Macaca fascicularis: one gene and its partner. The protein of the gene in region 1 interacts with the protein of each later gene in a biochemical or structural test. Links are inferred from orthologs where the notes say so. Each region holds a gene or a part of one and is shown on either strand. Other genes may lie near its edges.

Region 1 (7,947 bases):
TTCATTTGGTTATCTTAGTCTTTTCTCAGACTTCCTCTTTAACAGAGAATTATCTGAAAGCCCCTGGCTAAGTTAATGCTTATGACTGTGGTCACAAATGGATGGCTTGGATTTTATTTGTTTTGCAGTGTTTGTAAATTTTTTTATGTATACTGTTGTTGTCAACTAACAATTCGTGTGTATATGGATTACGTTAGTTGACACACACACACACACACATATATATATATATATATATATAATATTCCCCAAATTTAAAAAGCAGTTTGGAGATTTTTCCCACGCACAGAAAATCAGAAAATTGGCAACACTCTGCCCCATTTCCTTATGGCAACAATTTAAACAGGCCATGAGCCGTCCACATGGAGACTGGACCTTGAAACAGCAGCTAGTGTTTTGAGCTCTAAGCTAACACTTTGGACTTTCAGTCATGTTTTCTTTCCCCAAACAAATAGAAAAGTTTTATTTCAAAGAGGAAAAGGGTGCAACAGCTGCAACATACATAAAACCTATTTAGTTTTACTTGGGAGTGAGAATCAGGAAACCTGGGCTGTTCTTAACTTAGTTTGGATAAAGAAGGGTAGTTAAGCTGTCCTTATGTCTCTTACCAAGTGGAGAAAATACTGCTGTAGTTCACAGAAATTTTGGGGAGTTTTAGATTCTATGGAAAACGGAAATGCTATTTGTAACTTAGATTTTTTTTTTTTTTTTTTTTTTTTGGAGGAGTCTCGCTCTGTTGCCCAGGCTGGAGTGCAGTGGCATGATCTAACCTACACCTTCCTGGTTCAGTCAATTCACCTGCCTCAGCCTCCTGAGTAGCTGGGATTACAGGTGCGCGCCACCACGCCCAGCTAATGTTTGTATTTTTAGTAGAGACGAGGTTTCACCATTTTGGCCAAGCTGGTCTCAAACTCCTGACCTCAAGTGATCTGCCCACCTCGGCCTCCCAAAGTGCTGGGATTACAGGCATGAGCCACCGCACTCAGCCTAATTTTAAAATTTTTTTTTTGTAGAGATGGGGGTCTCCCTTTGTTGCTCAAGCTGGTCTCTGTCTCTTGGGATCAAGGGATCCTCCTGCCTCAGCCTCCCAAAGTGCTGGGATTACAGGCCTGGGCCACTGAAACTGGCCTTCATTACAAATTCATTGAACACACTTTATTTTATCCTTTTAAAAAAAATTCATTTCAGTAGTTTTGGGGTAACAGGTTGCATGGAAAAGTTTTTTAGTGGTCATTTCTGAGATTTTGGTGCACCCATCACCCGAGCAGTGTACACTGTACAATGTGGCACACACTTTCACTTAAAAGCGTCTACTAGATCTTTTTTTTTTTTTTTTTTTTTTTGAGGCGGAGTCTCGCTCTGTCGCCCAGGCTGGAGTGCAGTGGCGCGATCTCGGCTCACTGCAAGCTCCGCCTCCCGGGTTCCCGCCATTCTCCTGCCTCAGCCTCCCGAGTAGCTGGGACTACAGGCGCCGCCACCACGCCCGGCTAATTTTTTTGTATTTTTAGTGGAGACGGGGTTTCATTGTGTTAGCCAGGATGGTCTCGATCTCCTGACCTCGTGATCCGCCCGTCTCGGCCTCCCAAAGTGCTGGGATTACAGGCTTGAGCCACTGCGCCCGGCCTACGTCTACTAGATCTTGCTGCCAGATTTCCCATCCCTAAGACACCCGGAGTGTTCCTGAGGCCTTAGTGACTACTGCCTAAAGCTCCACCCAAATCAATTTTATGTTTACAGATAACCGGAGCATCCAATCACCTTTCTCTAAGAGAGTACAAAGATCAGCTCGCGAGAAAGTTCAGACCTCTCATTTCGTTTCTGTTAGACCGGCCTTCCCCCAACCAGACGGAGTCTTGCTCTGCTGCCCAGGCTGGAGTGCAGCAGCGCGATCTCGGCTCACTGCAACCTCCCCTCCCCGGGTTTAAGCAGTTCTCCTGCCTCAGCCACTGGAGTAGCTGGAATTACAGGCGCGCGCCACCACGCCAAGCTAATTTTTTTGTATTCTTAATAGAGATGGGGGGTGGGGGGGGGTTCACCATATTGGCCAGGCTGGTCTCGAACTCCTAACCTCATGATTTGCCCGCCTCGGCCTCCCGAAGTGCTGGGATTACAGGCGTGAGCCACCGTGCCCGGCCTCGACAGGGCCTTTTAAATGACGTTAAAAATTGTACATAAAATATGTTTTAGGATAATACCTGTTTTTCTTTGACCAAAGAAAGGCTTGGCTTCAGAGAATGTTAAGACAGAAATAGAGGGGCGTTAAATCCCCTTTTAAGTTTTTTCTAATTTCCAATCTGAGGAGGAAAATAACGTAGTAAAGGGATGCAAGAGCAACCTCGCTTCTTCCACAAGGCCCAGAATGCGAAGCGAACCTGGGCCGCTTGGCTACCGCCCGGTTGCAACCCGGAAATGCAGGGTGCAGTGCGGGGGGTACGGAACCGGCCGACTGTGTTGATCCGGCTCAGAGAAATCCCGCCCTTGCCGCCGCCGCCCACCCATAACGTCCTCCTCGACCCTCCCTCAACCCTCCCTCGCCCCGCCGCTCGGCCCTCACCGAAAGGGGGAGGGCGGTGAAAGAGAGAAGTCAAGGAGCGCACGCGAAGCCCAGCCCCTACCGTGACGTCTGGAGACGCGACGCGTCGCCTCGCAATGCAAATCGGGAAAAGGGGATGAGCTGGGCTGGCTTCCGTCCTGATAGCCAAGGCTAATTCTCCCTCGAGTTCTTGGGAGATGGGCGTTTGGCGAGAAGGCTGGCGTTAGTGAAGCGCGCCGGGCGTCACGGTGAGTGCGGGTCTTGGGCCCTGGCACCTGTCCTCTGGGAAGTCGTCCGCTGTGAACCCCCTCTCCTTCCACCAGCTGCTGGTCACCCGGGAGACAAGCCCTGTCCGCGGAGAGGAGTGGGACAACTCCGAAAGGTAGAACCGGCTTGTGGAGAGGAAGGGCCCAACCTTGAGTCTTTTACGCCACCCATCTAGGATTGCCAAGCGAGTTTCGTGCGGTTTTTCGGTTTTAAAAGGTGGCTTTGACCATTCTTCCGTTCTCTTGGACACTTATACCCGACTTTGACCTCTTTCCTCTTGCTTCCGGTTTTTTGTTTTTGGTTTTTTTTATTTTTTTTATTTTACTCTCTGCAATCTGCCTACAATCCCAGGCCTTACTACAGCTCCTAAAACTGTTTCCCAGTTTCTCCTCTTCCCTAGTCACACTTCATTTTAGTGAAGTAGGAGTTTAAAGACCCTATAAGCTTATCAGAGTTAAAACTATGACTGCCTCAAATAGAAGCTTTTCCCCGCCCCCCTAAAAAGTGCCTTCCAACCTAGAGTTGTGGGACAAGTTAATTTCGCCGCCACTCCACCTTGGAAATTATCGGAATCCTTACTTGCAGCGATGTGCATTTATATAGAAAGCTGCAGACCACCCTCCTGGGTTTATTTCTTGCCTCCAGTTCATTCTGTGACCTTGAACAAGTCACTTAATCACTAACAAAATATTTACCTGACACGGAGGTGTTGCAGAGCCTAAGGAATTTAGAATTTAAGAGACCTGAGGGTTTCAGATGAAAGGGATTTGTATCTAAAGGATATTACCTTTTCTGAATCTGCGAAGCATCCTTAGTTTTGTAAATATCTTGCTGCAGCCATTAAAAATGCCAAGTGGTTATTTGTTAAGGAAGTGTTCCTGTTTTAGGCTTGCTCTGCTGCGGCTTTGCCATGTAAGCAGATTTTGCATTTCAGCCGATTCTGTTTAAGATTCGTTGGTGAATGTCATTCATGATGGATTTGGGTAGTTTCTCCTTACAACATATCCCTGGACCATTAAGCATATCTGGAAGGTGATATCGGTTGTGTTATGTCTTTATCATGTTGATATGGCTGCCTTGAAATAGGTATTCCTTTTCTTGTGACACATTGGATGCATCTTTAATATTAGATAGTGAAGACCCTGTAGTAGTAAAAATATATATATATATATACACACCTGTCATTAATGAAATTTTGCACATAGGCATGTATTTTTTTTAGAAAACAATGTATAAGAAAAACTAACAAAAATGTTTTAAAGGTGACTTTTTTAGCATTTCATTTTTTAATATATTTACTTGGACTTTATTAATCATTATGGGCATTTGTTTATTAATGTGGACGTGGCTGGGCGCAGTGGCTCACGTCTGTAATGCCAGCACTTTCCGAGGCCGAGGAGAGTGGATCACCTGAGGTCAGGAGTTCGAGACCAGCCTGGCCAACATGGCGAAACCTGGTCTCTACTAAAAAACAAAATTAGCTGGGCATGGTGGCACACGCCTGTAATCCCAGCTACTCCAGGGGCTGAGGCAGGAGAATCGCTTGAACCGGGGAGGCAGAGGTTGCAGTGAGCTGAGATTGCACCATTGCACTCCAGCCTGGGTGACAAGAGCAAAACTGCATCTCAAAAAATTAAAATAAAAAGCGTGGACATAATGGAAAATAATCAAAATGACTTTTGAGTAAGACAGTTGGAAAATAAAACCAGTACATTAAATTTTTTTCATAAGTCTAGCATTATACTTTATTATGAACTTTTCTACATGAAAATGCGCTCATATTTACGGAAGTGAAAGGAAAAAAAGTCTTCAAGGATGTGTTGCTAATAAAATTAGAAATAATTAAGGAAACATTTAAAAAATACCTTGTTGTTGTCCCAGTTACCTATTGCTGCGTAACAAATGACTCCAAAACACAGTGGCTTAAAACTATAATTTATATCTCTCCTGTTTCTCTGGCCTGCCTGTACTTAGCTAAGTGGTTCTCACCTAGACTTTAATGCGTTTGTATTCAGATAAGCAGCTGAGTTTGGAGTCATCCGAGAGCTCAGCTGGTCTGGACATCCAAAATGGCTAATTCATGTGAAGGCAGTTGATGTTGGCTAGGAGTTCAGCTGGAAATGTCAACTGGAATGCCCACACATAGCCTCTTCACGTGACTTGAACTTCTGACGTGAACAGTATGGTGGTTAGGTTCCAAGAATACATGTTTGAGGAGACAGGAAATAGAAGCTGCGTGTCTCCCAAAAAGCCTGAACCCAGAAATAGGCACAACATTATTTCCAACATACTCTGTTGGTTAGAGCAGTCAGACCAGTATCCAACCCTCACTTTTGAAGGGAAAAATGTCAAAGAATTTGTGGCCATGCTTTGTCTACTGTAATTTTGATGACAAAGTTGTATTGGACTCTTGTTTGCATTTATATAGCAGATGAATAATAAGGTATGCTTCCAATTTCCAATTTCTTTTCTTTTTTTTTTTTTTTTTTTTTTGAGATGGAGTCTTGCTCTGTCGCCAGGCTGGAGTGCAGCGGTACGATCTCGGCTTTTTGCAACCTCTGCCTCCTGGGTTTATGCCATTCTCTTGCCTCAGCCTCCCAAGTAGCATGTCGCCACGCCCAGCTAATTTTTGTATTTAGTAGAGATGGAGTTTCACCATGTTGGCCAGGATGGTCTCGATCTCTTGACCTTGTGATCCACCCGCCTCAGCCTCCCAAAGTGCTGGGACTACAGGCGTGAGCCACTGCGCCCAACCCATTTCCAATTTCTTTAACCATAATGCATTATGTTTTAATGGCATGTTACAGTTCTCTTTTTTTTTTTTTTTTTTTTTTTTTTTTTGAGACGGAGTCTCGCTCTGTCGCCCAGGCTGGAGTGCAGTGGCACGATATCGGCTCACTGCAAGCTCCACCTCCCGGGTTCATGCCATTCTCCCGCCTCAGCCTCCAAGTAGCTGGGACTACAGGTGCCCACCACCACGCCCGGCTAGTTTTTTGTATTTTTAGTAGAGACGGGGTTTCATCATGTTAGCCAGGATGGTCTCGATCTCCTGACCTCGTGATCCACCCGCCTCGGCCTCCCAAAGTGCTGGGATTACAGGCTTGAGCCACCGCGCCCGGCCGGCATGTTACAGTTTTCAAAACATGTTTTTGTATATTTTTTCACTTGATACCTATGGTCACCCTATAGAAGCAGACAAATCATTCCTGTTTCATTTTGCAGATGAAAGTAAACTGAAGAGCAGTGGTGGTCATGTTGGGAGTGATTTATGGAATTTGTTGAAAGTCATATGATTAATAAATGGAAAGTAAGGCCTGCAACAGTTCCATAATATAGAATTTACTAGTACTGAATGATGACATATTATATTAAAGTTATTTAGAATTCTACATTTATAGCCATACTAATTTTTTTTTTTTTTTTTTGTTGGAGACGGAGTCTTGCTCTGTCTCCCAAGCTGGAGTGCAGTGATGTGTTCTTGGCTCACTGCAGTGTCCGCCTCGTGGGTTCAAGCAATTCTGCTTCAGCATCCCAAGTAGCTGGGACCATAGGCACCCACCACCACGCCCGGCTAATTTTTGTATTTTAGTAGAGATAGGGTTTTGCCATGTTGGCCAGGCTGGTCTTGAATTCCTGACCTCAGGTGATCTGCCCACCTCAGGTGATCAGCCTCCCAAAGTTCTGGGATTATAGCCGTGAGCCATCGCATGTAGCCCTTTGTTTTTTTTTTTAAATTGAGACAAGGTCTTGCTCTGTCACCCAGGCTGAAGTGCAGTGGCATGATCTTGGCTCACTGTAACCTCTGCTTCCTGGGCTCAAGTGATCCTCCTGCCTCAGCCTCCCAAGTAGCTAGGACTGCAGGCACACGTCACCACACCTGACTAATACCATACTAATTCAAGTAAAACAGTTCTCATGTATAGTGAATATGGCTTAACTAAGCCTTGTCTCTTTTGACTAACACATTACAATTTCGTTTTTTGTTTGTTTGTTTGTTTTTGAGACGGAGTCTTGCTCTGTCGCCCAGGCTGGATGCAGTGGCTCAATCTTGTCTGACTGCACCCTCCGTCTCACGGGTTCAAGCAGTTCTCCTGCCTCAGCCTCCCAAGTAGCTGGGACCATAGGCACACGCCGCCATGTCTGGCTAATTTTTTTTGTTTTAATAGAGATAGGGTTTCACTGTGTTGCCCAGGCTGTTCGTGAACTCCTGAGCTCAGGCAATCCGCCTACCTCGGCCTCCCAAAGTGCTAGGATTACAGGTATTAGCCACTGCGCCCAGCCTACAATTTAGTTTTTAGTAATACAGCAGTCTTCCCCTTATCTGCAGGAGATATGTTTCAAGACCTCCAGTGAATGCCTGAAACCACAGATAGTACTGAATCCTATATATACTATGTTTTCCCTATAAATACATTTTTATGGTAAAGTTTAACTTAGAAGCAAGAGATTAACAACAATAACTAATAATGAAATAGAATAATTATAATATAGTGTAATAAAAGTTATGCCCTGTGGCCATAACTTGTGCAGCTTGAGGTGTGACAGCAAAACCAACACAAATTTTCTTTTTCCTTCTTCACAGTTTTGCAGAAAAAAAAGATCTTTCCGTAGATCTTAGCAACGTCAGCATGAGTTGTTTTTTTTTTTTTTCTCTTACTGAGTTGAGAACTTTCACCTTTTCGCTTGAAGAAAGCAGTTTACAGCTTCTCTTTGGCATATGTGAATCTGTGCTCTTACACTTTGGAGCCATTATTAAGTAAAATGAGGGTTACTTGAACACAAGCGCTATAATACTGCTATAGTCAGTCTGGTAACTGAGACAGCCACTTAGTGATTAACAGGCAGGTAGCATCTACAGTGTGGATACACGACAAAGGGATGATTCATGTCATAGGCTGGGCGAAGTGAGGTGGTGCACAATTTAAAACTTATGAATTGTTTATTTCTGGAATTTTTTATTTAATATTCTTGGACTGTGGTTGACTGCAAGTAGCGGAAACCATGGAAAGTGAAACCGTGGATAAAGGGGAACTACTGCACTGAATTCTGAAACACCAATAATCATGTGAACCCACATGTCTTTTTAATAGTGTGAAATGAAATAATTACACATTATAATACCAATTTCAAAACAAAAAAAGTTGTGG
Region 2 (7,298 bases), on another chromosome or scaffold:
ACCGGGAGGTCAAGACTGTAGTGAGCTGAGATCATGCCTCTGCACTCTAGCCTGGGTGACTGAGTGAGACCTTGTCTTAAAAAAAAAAAAAAAAAAAAAAAAAACCCTTGTTGGCCGGGCGCAGCGGCTCACACCTATAATCCCAGCACTTTGGGAGGCTGAGGCGGGTGGATCATCACGAGGTCAGGAGTTTGAGACCAGCCTCACCAACATGCTGAAACCCCGTCTCTACTAAAAATACAAAAACATCAGATGGGCGTGGTGGCACCTGCCTGTAATCCCAGCTACTCAGGAGGCTGAGGCAGGAGAATTGCTTGAACCTGGGAGGCAGAGGTTGCAGTGAGCAGGGATCTAGCCACTGCACTCCAGCCTGGGTGAAAGAGGGAGACTCTGTCTCAAAAAAACAAAGCAAAACAAAAAAAACCTGAACTACAAATTCCACAGTTCAAACACGCTTCTTTTTAAGGGTCAAAGTAACAACAGTTTTCTAATTTTTAGGAGTACATGCAGACAAGTAAGTCTGGGGCTACTTCACAGGCTGATTATAGCACAGTGCTAAGCACATAATAGGCTTAGTCTCATAAAGGACAATTAGCTTTATTTTGTCCCAGGGATGCAGACTGTAAGCTTAAGGGCAGGCAATAATCTCAGTATGGGTAGCAAAGCTAAGGTAACACCATTCCACTTCACAGGATTATGAATAAACAGCTCTGTAACTTCATCTTAATAAGGGTCTATATATTCCCATTCTGAAAATCTAGGAAAATTAACACATATAATTATAAAATTAGCACAGCTCCCAAAACTTACCTTAAATATGAAGTTTGAGCAGGCTGTGTTGTCACTGAGGAATTCACATTTGGAGGCAGAGATCTCAGTGGACCAATCTGATCGGGTCCTAGGCTATAGCTTTGGGCAACAGTTACTTGGTGAATGCTCTGACCCATATAGTTTCCACCATGTGATTGAACTGGATATGTCTATTAATCAGAAAGAAAAAGTTGATTCATGAATCTCCCAAACTTGTGCCTAATAATATATTTAAAATGTTAAAAGACTTAAAGGAAAGAAACTATATGTCTTTGGGAAGCAATCTGATTCTACCAATCTATCCATCTTAGAACTAAAAGTGGTGAGCTGTCAAATCACAGTGCCATATCTATGGAAATTTGATTTGTTTGGCTGTTCTTTTATTTTTACAGAGAGCTGGGAGAAAGACAGGTGGTATACTTTTAAGTAGTGGATTGCCATCTATCCAGGTTGCCTATTACTCAGTAAACATGTCTTGTTGTAGAGCCACAGAAAACTGTACACTCCCTTGAAGGGAAGCCCACCATCACTTAAAGTCACTATAAGAATGATAACCTTCTTTACCCTCATCCCAGGATGACTCATCCAACTCCTTCCTAAGAATGAAACTTAAAAGAACAAGCTGAAAAAGAAACGGTATAAGGATGCCAGGGCTTCCCTGGCAATGTCTACTTTATCTCTTACCTTTCAGACAAACAGGACAAAAGTAAGGAAGAGTTATTGGTAAAAGACATGTATCCTCAGGAAAGAGCAAAAATGGTTTAGGTCTCTTTGGACATTTATATGTGCCCTACTTATTTTCAGGACAACAGCTCCTTAAGGACAGGGTCTACCACCTGTCTACTATATATAGCATCAAAACAATGCACACATTTAATATCATATCATACCATAATGATCATCAATCCAGTTTTAAATTAAGCTATTTTTTAAAGCAAAGACCATTTATCTGAAAATTTAGAATGCTAGAAATCCCAAATAAGCTATATTAAGTACAATCACATTACCTCCTTAGTAGACATGTAACAATCTACTGACAATAGGCTGAGACTGTGAGAATCAGCTTCTTCTGCAGTTTAGGGTTCCTGAGTAGCCTACACAGATACAACTAACTTGTTACCCCAATTGCTTCTAGTAGAGATGTATTTTTGTCAAATTAGAATAGAAACTTTTGAATATTTCAAATGCTCGAGTGAATAGTGTAGATACAGATTATGTGAGGAATCAAACAGAAAGTTAACTTTTCAGAGAAATGAGTTGTGCTTGGCAAAATGCAGTAAGCAGAATTCAAGTAAACACCGAAACCTGACACAGAATAGCAAATAACCCTTTACAGACACATAAAAAAGCCAACATAGGCCGGGCACGGTGGCTCAAGCCTGTAATCCCAGCACTTTGGGAGGCCGAGACAGGCAGATCACGAGGTCAGGAGATCGAGACCATCCTGGCTAACACGGTGAAATGTCTCTACTAAAAAATACAAAAAAAAAAAAAAAAAACTAGCCAGGCGAGGTGGCGGGCGCCTGTAGTCCCAGCTACTTGGGAGGCTGAGGCAGGAGAATGGCGTGAACCCGGGAGGCGGAGCTTGCAGTGAGCTGAGATCCGGCCACCACACTCCAGCCTGGGTGACAGAGCGAGACTCCGTCTCAAAAGAAAAAAAAAAAAAAAAAGCCAACATAGTTTTATCATACAACGATGCAGACACTGCTTTTTGTCCCACTTTCACAGCAGCAGCAAACAACTCTGAAAACAGAAGCAAACTGAGTAACTCCCAAATGTCTTTTGCAGCCAGAAATCTTTCTTACCCTCCTAATTTTCAAAAAGATCAAGGCATGGCACATTTGATAAATGTATCTTGTCTGACGTGACAGTTACCATAGTGACTATTCTTTTTTTACTTAACAATTACGTTGTGTCAAGTCATCTAAATTATTCACCCACATTCTACCCTTTCTCCTTGGTGTCTCCTTCACATGTACCTTTAGATACCAGTGTTCATAAATTAACATGCATTTTGCTCATCCAAGCTCATTCTGAATTCAATTGGCTAACTGGCTGAAATTTCAAAATGCTTCTGAATGGGGATACTGACAAATATAAAGTATTCACTTCATATGGCAAGCACACAAAAAAGGTGAAAAGTACTGGAAAAAGATGGCTTACGGATGTTCATGGATGGCTTATGGAGTCTGTACCTCCTAGATGTGTATCATATCTTTGCTATGCACAAATTTTTAACAATTTAAGTCATGCAGCTAAGTAAAGGAAGTATAAAGCATACTCTAGAAGTTCATTGTGCCTGTTAATAATCATGTGAGTCAAATAAATCTTTATGGAAATTTGTAAAGAAATGTTAAATCTTGTTGAGCAGCAGCAAAGTCTTGGTACCTGGGGAACTTCTGATATGCTAGGTACCATCCGAAATCAAAGGATTTATACTCCACATTTACAAAAAGGATTTATACTTACATAAAAGATTTATGCTTTATACTTACAAAAGCATATGAAGAACCAGAACTACCCTCACATACTTAATGGTCTTTTCATCCATGTTAAAACTGAACTATAATGTATTTGTGAAATGTCAGTATCTGTCTAAGTTGTTCTGGTGAATGTTAATTGTTCAGTCAATATTTACTGAAACAATCAAAGATAAATTTTATAATTTTATTTACATACAAAAGAAATCTTAATACTATGCTGTAAAACACTTTCTTTTACTTTAAAACTTGTTTATAATTTAGAAAATGTTCTCAAAAAACATGCTCACCTGCATTGGAACCCCGGATGATGCAGGTGGGTAATGTGCTGGAGGGTGGAGCTTTGAATAGACTGAGTACACTGGTGCTTCATTCACCAATTTGTTATATAGTTCCAGAGCTTCCAGGACTTTTACATTCAATTCAGACAATTCTGAATGCTTCCTGATGTAGAAGAAAAGTATTATAATACTCTTCTAGTTTTTAGCATCTGTTTAGTGATATGAATTATTTTTTAAATTTAGCACAATTTCTATTCATATATCAAAAGGCTATTTTATATTTAATGAAAGAATATTCACAAAGGGAAACTGAGAGGAAGAACTGCTTAATCCTTGTAATAGCTAGCCTGATACTAAGGCAGGAAAATAGGGTCTGGAGGCAGGGAATCTAAGGCTGTTTTTCAAGCTGACTTCTTGTAACTACACTGAAAGGAAAACCAACCCTAACTTTCCACACCTAAGTAACAAAAGGACCAGAGGCTGCTCCCTTTGCAAACTCCCCACGTTTTCTGTGCAGCAGATGGGAAATTGGGTGTCCGAAAAAAATCAGACTGATTACAAGTCCAGTCTTCCTTTGCAACTTTGTAACTTCAGCCTCCGAACGGTTGCTGTCCACAACCAGCCTCTGAATGGCTGCTCCAGCCTCTGAATGGTTGCTGTCCACAACCAGTCAGACTGACTGTGGGCGGAGTCTTCCTTTGCATACAAGCATAATTGTAACTTCTCCCTAGCCTCTAATTGGTTGCTTTTTGCAACCAATCAGATGGTTGCACAGCACTGTGACCTTTGTAACTTCATTTCAGCCTCTGGTTGGCTGCTTTCTGCAACCAGACTGATCGTGAGCTTCCACTTCATTTACATGAGGTGAGCATGAAGCGGCCAATGGGAAACTTCTAGGGGGTACTGTACTTGGACCCAAGAAGGTTCTGTATCCGGGTCCTTCAGCTGCTGCTCAGGCCCACTCCCACACTGTGGGGCGTACTTTCGTTTTCAATAAATCTCTGCTTTTGTTCTTCTGTTGCTTCGATCTTTCTTTCCTTTGCTGGGCATTTTGTCCAATTCTTTCTTCAAAATGCCAAGAACCTGGACAACCTGCAGTCACAATCCTCTACCAGTGACAAAATGACTTTATAATATTAGGGAAAAGTCCTTTCCATGCCTCATAAAATGCAATCAATTCACAATTTTGGTGCTGAGAGAATTTACTTTCACACATTCCAGTTTTATTTTGAGAATTCAATTATTAAAAAGAAAATTCTCAATTTGGGTAAGAATCTAGGCCTGAATTATAAATCTCAATAAAAGAAAGTACCCACGCAAGGCCCAGAACCTCTATGAAGTACACGATATGATGGAAATTTAAAAACACTTGTTAAAAAAAAAAAAAAAAGCCGGGCGCGGTGGCTCAAGCCTGTAATCCCAGCACTTTGGGAGGCCGAGACGGGCGGATCACGAGGTCAGGAGATCGAGACCATCCTGGCTAACACAGTGAAACCCCGTCTGTATTAAAAAATACAAAAAAAACTAGCCGGGTGAGGTGGCGGCGCCTGTAGTCCCAGCTACTCGGGAGGCTGAGGCAGGAGAATGGCGGGAACCCGGGAGGCGGAGCTTGCAGTGAGCTGAGATCCGGCCACTGCACTCCAGCCTGGGCGACAGAGCGAGACTCCGTCTCAAAAAAAAAAAAAAAAAATCACACACATTTTCATTTGTTTATATCCATAAAAATATCAACTGAAAAAAAAAAACCTACTTAAATAATTACCCTTGAAAATCCAAGTAAAAACAGTGTGTAAGACTAGTCTCTACAGCTCGTTTGTTGGTTGGTTTATTTTGAGAAAGTAAGTAAACCAATACTTTATTATGTAGTAACAAAAAATCCAAATAAAAGCATCTTCAAATATGACCAAGAAGCTTCAGAGCAGACTCTTCCTACTTGAAACAATTTTGTCTGTTCCCCTGGGAGTAATAAAGAACTCTCTTTGCACTGTCAAATTTATAATAGTTAAGCAACCACTTTTCATCTGGCCTGAAACATCCACAAGCCTTTTTATTGAAATGTGGTTCTTTCTACATAAACACAGAGAGGCAACAAGCAGAGGCACACAGACACAGGACTACCAAGTAAACAGCCACTGAGTCCTATCAAGATTTGTCACTTTTCTTCTATTAGTCTTTTATGTCTGAACAACAACAACAAAAAGTTTGTTCCCTCTCTGGTAGGAATGACTGCATTAAGCAGGTCAAACTTTATTATCAAAAATAAGAGTTACGAGCCACCCAGAAAGCTACAGAAATTAGTGCCATGCTAACAAATGCATAACTAAAATTTATCTGTAGGAAATCCACAAAACCCAGTATGTTGATGAAACAACAGAAAAATGCAGTAGAAAGACATGATCACTGTGTTTGAAATCCCCTGAAAGATTTGAGACACAATCCCAGAGTAATAAGGCAAAAGAGCAACTTGATCAGATGGTAGAAAATGATCTTTGGAGGACAGGAGGAAATAAGATTAGAATAGTCTGGAACATAGTTAAGGCCAGACTATGAATCTCTCTTCAATAAATCTACCTAAACTTTTTTGGAGTCAATTTACATGTTTACTCAATATAATTTCTTAGGGTGATAAAATGCTACAAAATTTCATTCTGTAAAATGACAGAAATGAAATGTACAATTTAACTTTCTAACAATAGAGTTGTTTTTCTGAGCAGGAATAACAAACCCAATGATCCATTCAAGGGAAAAATTGGTACTTTATTCATCTCTGAATACTTGACAAGGGTAAATAACAGTCAATAAGAATTTGTTGAAGAACAGGAAACATTTCCCAGAACAGGAGCTGCATCTGCAGCTGTGGCCATGGAACAAGAAAAAATGCCAGTTGGCCTATTCAAAAACTGAAACTGGTAAGAAAACTGGTTAATGATTGAGTTCTCACTCAAAAAATTAACTACCATCAGAATGGTCACTTTGATTTTTTTTTTCTTTTGAGACAGGATCTCATTGTGTCACCTAGACTGGAGTGCAGTGGTGCAACTGTGGCTCACTGCAGCCTCCTTGACCTCCCAGGCTCAAGCAATCTTCCCACCTCAGCCTCCTGAGGAGCTGGGACCACAGGTGCATACCACCAAGCCCAGCTAATTGTTAAAATTTTTTTTTTTAGAGATGGGGTCTCACTGTATTGCCCAAGCTGGTCTCAAATTCCTGGGCTCTGATGATCCTCCCACTTCAGCCTCCTGAAGTGCTGGGATTATAGGTGTGAGCCCCCACACCAGCCTCACTCTGACTTCTAATTCTTCTAGATCTTTTCCTTTAACAAAATTATTTTTATGAACCAAAAATAAGATTAAATTGTCATAGCTTCTGCCTTTTTTCATTATATATTATAATATCTGTTCATATCAAGGGATAATTATCAAGGACAATGATATTCATTGTAGAATGTGTGGACACACACTCAGTCCTCCATGTCCATGGGTTCTGCATCCGTGCACTCAACTTCAAATTGAAAATACAAAACATTAAAAAAAATTGTGTCTGAACTAAACATACAGCCACATCTATAATACTTTTTAATCTTTTCCAGTTTGATTATTCACTAACCATTAACATCCTGCATTGAAACAAAGTAGATGTGTAAGGAGATATTTAATGCTTTCTCTAAAATATGGCAAAACTACTGTCAATTGACACACAGATTTTTCATTTCTTTAGAAAACACATT

Evidence for each region.
Region 2: the proteins of USP8 (region 1) and STAM2 form a complex in vitro, tested with the Homo sapiens proteins (3 studies listed by BioGRID, with this or other methods). The link is inferred for Macaca fascicularis from reciprocal best matches to the Homo sapiens genes USP8 and STAM2.

What each region holds. Positions count from the first base shown.
Region 1 is NC_088381.1:26,903,102-26,911,048, forward strand, and holds the start of USP8 (ubiquitin carboxyl-terminal hydrolase 8), read left to right. Parts: upstream 1-2,653; 5' UTR 2,654-3,016; intron 3,017-7,947. UniProt on the Homo sapiens protein: Hydrolase that can remove conjugated ubiquitin from proteins and therefore plays an important regulatory role at the level of protein turnover by preventing degradation. Converts both 'Lys-48' an 'Lys-63'-linked ubiquitin chains.
Region 2 is NC_088386.1:47,650,046-47,657,343, forward strand, and holds part of STAM2 (signal transducing adapter molecule 2), read right to left. Parts: intron 3,735-7,298; coding exon 3,581-3,734; intron 981-3,580; coding exon 811-980; intron 1-810.